2 separate regions of the Mus musculus genome follow, and region 2 is reported to be linked to region 1. The links are microRNA targets in miRTarBase. Many come from high-throughput screens and were not tested one by one. Region 1 holds a microRNA gene; the other region holds the end of a gene's coding sequence.

The links. The annotated mature microRNA mmu-miR-599 reads UUGUGUCAGUUUAUCAAAC and lies in region 1 at 843-861, shown strand. An mRNA with a match to its seed (bases 2 to 7 or 8) in the 3' UTR can be bound and repressed. Matches are read on the target gene's strand: a 7mer-m8 pairs with bases 2 to 8, a 7mer-A1 pairs with bases 2 to 7 and ends in A, and an 8mer does both.
Region 2: miRTarBase lists Col8a1 as a target of mmu-miR-599. Seed matches in the 3' UTR shown: 7mer-m8 at 2,706-2,712.

The regions. Positions count from the first base shown.
Region 1 is chr15:35,658,707-35,661,706 of GRCm38, reverse strand. Mir599 (microRNA 599) reads left to right here and starts at 789; the gene lies at 789-876. The region is part of intron 30 of Vps13b (vacuolar protein sorting 13B); the gene reads right to left. Mir875 (microRNA 875) reads left to right here and starts at 660; the gene lies at 660-737.
Region 2 is chr16:57,624,157-57,627,700 of GRCm38, forward strand. It overlaps Col8a1 (collagen, type VIII, alpha 1), which reads right to left. Exons shown (of 4, transcript NM_007739.2): 4 at 100-3,544. The coding sequence ends at 2,755. Among named protein-coding and RNA genes, the nearest start is that of Gm51269, 15 kb to the left of the region's middle.

The DNA.
Region 1 (3,000 bases):
CTCCCGTGTCCACACAGCCCTGCAGCCACACTGAGAAGGTACTGGAATTGTATGATGCCATTTACTCTGCAAAGACTTAAAAAAAAAAAAAAATAGAAGGAATCGCCAAAGTTGTGTTTCCATATTGTATATAGCAGGTAAATTCATCCAAAATTGAAAAGATTTAACAATGTTACTTTGGATTAATAGAATCAGCTTTTGACCTGAGCCTGAATTATATACTTTTAGTGCAAGAATAAATTTCAGAAAATATCTTTCTCACATGACAATTCTTGAACCTGGACAGTATACAAATGATTCTGGTGTACTGTTAGGCTTTTTTGTTTGTTTTTAAAAAATACTACACTTCTGAGGATGTATTTTCAAATAAAATAATTGAAATTAAACAAATATGAATCCAGATAAAAGCAAAAATTCAGACTATCTAATGTTATGCAAAATAGGAAAGTATATATAAAATCAATTCTATTCCATTTTTCTTATTTTAAAATTCAAGTATGTTTATAATGTAACTTGACAATGTTTACCAGAATGAAAGCAAATTAAAGAATTATCTCTTTCATTAATGTCTCTTCTGCCACTAAGATGAACAAGGGGTGCTTCCATCCTATAACCCTGTGCATTTGTTTATTTTTCCTAGGTTTGGGGAAATTCCCAGTTCTGTGGTACTATACCTCAGTTTTATCAGGTGTTCATTAAAATCACCTGAAAATACTGAGGCTATGTTTCACTGAGCATAAGCTTCATGGATTCCTTGAGTGACTGCAGCTGTACTCACCACAAAGATGTGCTGTCCACAGTGTATTTGATAAGATGACATAGGAGAGGAACTTCTTTCACCTTTGTGTCAGTTTATCAAACCCATACCTGGATGACAAGCAATTCAATGGAAGGAAAACCAGTCCCAGAATTCAAAGCATTATTTCCTGTAGAAGAGCTCTGTGCTCTCTAAATGCCAAAGGCATAAATATACGACAGTTTCACTAAATGACTAAAGCCTTAAATAATATGGATAGAAACGGTTGCACTGCTAAAGTTATAACCACAGTTATTAAGGTTTACTGGTATGCTAGGGGATTTGGGTGAAAATAGCACTAAGGATAAATATGTATTACCTGATAATAAAATATGAGGAATTTATGTTAAAATTATGCTTTGACTTTGCTCAAAATTATTGACTTTTATATTTTTCGATTATTGTATTGCTTTGGTTCAGAATCCTCGACAAGAAAATTTATAGGTGGCAAACACAGGTTAAGGAAAGAGCATTCACAAATTAAAAACTGAAATTAGCATTTAGTTTTCTTGAAAGTTACCAATAGTCATAAAGGGTAGAACAGTGTTAATCTTTGACATATAGGCTACTATGGGCAGAAGTGAAGGCTGCAGGGGTCTGGGGGAAGTGTTAATGTGGCTATGTTTAAGCAATTAGTATTTCTCCTGTGGGAACTATCACTTCAAGAATGAAACAAGGACAAATAAGAAGAAAACATTCTATGGCCATTTTTACCTACCTTGATAATCAGGGCTGTGTTCCTTAGTACTTTTGCCAACATGAACTACTTTTCTGGTATCTTAACCTTATCAAAGTTCAGGGTTAGAAATTACAGAACAAAAACATCAGATTAAGGAATGGTTTCAATGAAGGGGATAAACAGCTTCTAAACAAAGGATAAGCCTTTCTAAGTGCATAAAAAAACTATTTAACCTACGACACTAATGACAGTGCACACTGTAATAAAGAAAGAGAAGCATGCGTGGGAAGGAAGTTGTCCTTCACACTGACCCTGCAGAGGAGAACTGTTCATTGCTGGGGCAGGGGAATGACACTTTCTAAGTCTGCATGCCACCTCACTGCTGCTCACCAGATGTTCATACGTGATATATACAGGTAATTTACTATGCATATGTAGTGAATATGTGTATGGTCCTTGCTTCTTAATTTGACACCTAATTAGCTTCTCTGTGGTAAAGATGTTAGGCTGTGGCTGTAAGTGGACACTAGTCAATACAGGCTAAAACAGTAAATAAGTGGCCTTTACAGCATCTCACATTTACAAGTTCACTAAAAAGATATTTTAAAAACAGGGAATGTATGATGTATCATGTACCCATCCTTTCATCAATGAACACATATAGGAAACAAACATACAGAATACTATTTAATTATAACATTCAATTATTTTATAATAGGCATTTAAGAAAACATAACACTATTTTACCATTTTTGTGTCTTGCATGTCAGTAGCCATGGTACACAAGCATTATATGCCAAGTATTATGGAGATTTAAAGGTTTAAAATTATTTTAAGGTCTATTTAACCTGTTTTCTTTTTTTTAAATTAGGTATTCATTTCATTTACATTTCCAATGCTATCCCAAAAGTCCCCCACACCCTCCCCCACTCACTCCCCCACCCATCCACTCCCACTTCTTGGCCCTGGCATTCCCCTGTACTGAGGCATATAAAGTTTGCACGACCAATGGGCCTCTCTTTCCACTGATGGCCAACTAGGCCATCTTCTGATACATATGCAGCTAGAGACACGAGCTCTAGGGGGTACTGGTTAGTTCATATTGTTGTTCCACCTATAGGGTTGCAGATCCCTTCAGCTCCTTGGGTACTTTCTCTAGCTCCTCCACTGGGGGCCTTGTGATCCATCCAATAGGTGACTGTGAGCATCCACTTCTGTGTTGCTAGGCCCTGGCATAGTCTCACAAGAGACAGCTATATCTGGGTCCTTTCAGCAAAATCTTATTAGTGTATGCAATGGTGTCAGCATTTGGAAGCTGATTATGGGATGTATCCCCGGATATGGCAGTCTCTAGATGGTCCATCCTTTCGTCTCAGCTCCAAACTTTGTCTCTGTAACTCCTTCCATGGGTGTTTTGTTCCCAATTCTAAGAAGGGGCAAAGTGTCCACACTTTGGTCTTCGTTCTTCTTGAGTTTCATGCATTTAGCAAATTGTATCTTATATCTTGGGTATTCTAAGTTTCTG
Region 2 (3,544 bases), not on the chromosome of region 1:
TTTAGACCCTGTATACAGTGGCTGATTACTACAATGTGTTACTAAGAAACACTTTATGTTCAAATAGCGTCAGTTGAATGTTATGAACAAGGCAGGAAACATATTTTTAGAGATATTTAATGATCTGTTTTTCAAATCAGTACAAAAAATTTAAATACAAAATTGATTTGCCATTCAGTCTCAAATCTATTCATGGGAACTCAAGCAAGTTACCGGTCTTTTCATCATTCTTTGTTTCTGTAAAATATTTGAGGACAACTGTCCTCTACAGACATTCCTTTCCCCTGTGGGACGTCATACTGCATTAAAACTCTCTGTTTAAATAGAACAATGCCAGTTTGGTCCATTTCACTTGGAAAAGCTCTAGTTAATTTTGTATTAAAAAGTGATCATAGTACTGTCCCTAGAAAGTAGAACACATACTTGATTCACTTGCTTTCACACCACTGTGGACATGATGGACAACACTCAAAAGGGAAACACAGGTACATAGATAATTATTTAAAACTCTTCTTTAAATTAAATGGAGTATCATTTAGCTCTGATATTAGCACCATGGTAGAATATACAGTATCTGGCATAGATTTTTGCTCCTCCTCCATTTAAAAGCTTAGAAGCATATGCCTGATAACACACACACACACACACACACACACACACACACACACACACAGAGGCAGGCAATTGAGTAACAACCAATAAATAAGTTGGAAGATATCTCAAAAAGTGAAATTTGGTTTAACTTAAGAGATAATTTCTGTCTTTCTTTATGGAAACTAAAATACCATACATGTACAGATAAAAGCAACTTTACAACCCATCTGGCCAGACCATTTCAACGTAGCTATTGAGCAGAAAGAGCGAGGGACCCATATGATTTCCATAGTGACCAGCTATAAGCCAGTGTCCTTAGGAGCGACCCCAAGGAAAGCTGTCCAAAGACATGCTGTTTACTTTGCAAATGAAGGTTTGGTAGGAAATTCGTTTGGATTCGAAGGTGCTCTTGTGTAATTAACAATGAATGAAAAACCTTGTGCTAATAAACACATTCTTTTTTTAAAAATTCAAGAAAAAAATGGTGTCTGTGCCTCATAAAGGGAAAAGACCAATAGTAAGCCGTGGCAAGAAGAACTGTGGTGGTAAAAATAATTCAGATTTTAAATAGACCATGCTTTATACTGTATTTATCTGTGCATTTTCCAATCTATGTCTCTCTCTTCAGCTCCTGGTTTTTAACTTTTGAGAAAAGTAGAATACATTCTATTGCTCTCATTCCACATTATTCCCCTAAGCAACCAAGAGCAGATGAACGGAAAACGTTCAACTGGTCGTGTTTTGAGCATCAGCCAAAGAACCTACTATGTGCCTTAATTAGAATCTGAAAAAAAACAATTTCTCTTTTCCAACATGGTTTGGCTGTGGTGCTAAGCGTGCAGTGGCATCGTAGGCCTGAGGTGCTATGGCTTATGACACTCCAGCTATCTCTTCCCCAGGCGGATGTTAAAGAAACAATTATCTTCCTACAACCGTAGTCCCTATTGCTGGAAGCAACATGCCTGCTTTTGAATATCAAACCTTATAATTACTCTTTTAAAATATAATTTTTCCTATGTAATTCTGATTTTTTCCCCCAAATTAAAAAAAAAAAAGAATGGTTTGGATTTTTGGCAATTGACTTTGGAACCTCATGGCATAAGTCATAGTTTTAAAATTCATAGTTACTGGGAAAAAAAAATGACAGCTACTAAGACAGGTGCAGACAAGGTGAAACCTCACTACACTTGGCTCTGTGGACACATTAGTGTTTTTGTTTTATTTTACACAACTGATAATTGCTATTAATAATAAATGTTCATGAAATGGCAAAGTTGTTTGAGGGAAGGCTTTGTAAAAAAAAGATTTGTTTATATTGCTTAGGCTATGTTATATATTATGTGGAAGGGTGAAGAAGGAAAAAAGAAAAGTTACAGAAAATTCCGAACTGAAACCCTTTAGATGGGTTGATATTTTAATGACTCTGAGCTAAACTATGAGCTCCTGTGGGCTCTGCCCTGCATCCCAGGCTAGCATCTCCTGCCCTGCATCTCACCCAGTTGCTAGGCAAGTAGACTGCTGAGCAGATACACAATGGGCCATTGGTATAGCTTTTCTTTTGGGGACACCACACACATCCACACACAATTCTGACTAGGTAGTCCTGCAGCTCAAAGCATTGCCTCTAACACAGAGAAATATCCTTTGGACTAGAGATTACCATGGACCCTGCACTACAGAAGAACCCTCCAAAATCCCACAGTAAAACACCTGCATGAAATAGAGAGGAAAGCATGCAAATAAATACAGTATGTAACTCTCACCATCAACCTCTTAAGGCATATTCAAAAATACCTTTACAAGGGAGCACAAAGAATGAATACTGTTCATTAGCGATGATGCTCCAGACTGAGATATTTTGACTGATTTGAATAAGCAGGTTATGAAATCATATAACATGGAACAGCTAATGAGTCCGCTGGGTACAACACACGTGTCAGTACTTCATCCATACCTCGGTCCCATGATCCCATTACAATCTGCTGTGCACAGGACTAAACATGCGTTTTAGTTTTTATTTGTACATGATGGTCCAAACTTTCACTTAAATATAACTTTCCAACTATTATAAATGTTTTGAAGCATTGTTTTCAATTGATTTTTTTTTTTGGTGTGTCATTTTCTTTTCTTCTATTAAATCTCTTATTTTTTCTCTTTTTTTTACATGGGATACAATAAATATCCTGAAAAGGAGGAGTGGACATATTGCCCGGCATAGAGTCCAGCAGCCTGTTCTGAAGGCATTTGGAGAAACACCTGGTCTCCGGGACGGAGAAGCAGTACTGCGCTTCCAGATGCTTGGTCCAGAAAGCCCTTCTTGTACTCGTCGTATGTGTACATCATGGGCTCGTTGTTCTTGAAGAGAGCAACCCATACGTTGCCTCCCTTGCAGTGAACATGATAAGCAAAGTAGTAGACACCCGGGACTTCACAGGTGAAGATGCCTGTCTGCGGATTGTAGTTCTGTCTGCCGTTGTAGAGCAGCTTGTCAAACTTCACTGGGGCCCCCACCGGTGGGAAAGGTACAGTCAGCTCGGCAGTAAACGCAGGCATCTCATAGGCTGGCCCTCCGTGTTTGCCCTTTTTGCCCGCATAGGCATGCGGAGGTTTCACCCCATCAATTCCTAGTCCCATATCTGGCAGATACTCTCCCTGGGGTGATGGTGTAGGCATCACAGCTGGAGGGCCTGGGGGTCCTGGAGGACCTGGGGGTCCAGGAAGGCCAGGCTGGCCTTGAGGCCCAAGGGCACCAGGTTTCCCCGGGGGCCCATGAAGTCCTGCTACTCCTGGCTTCCCTACACCAGGGAACCCAGGGGGCCCTGGGAGGCCTGGTTCTCCTTTGGGGCCCGGAATCCCAGGGGGTCCAATAGGGCCACTAGGTCCTACGATCCCTGGAATCCCTGGGGGACCCTGTAGACCCTGATCCCCAGGTATGCCAGGTTCTCCTTTG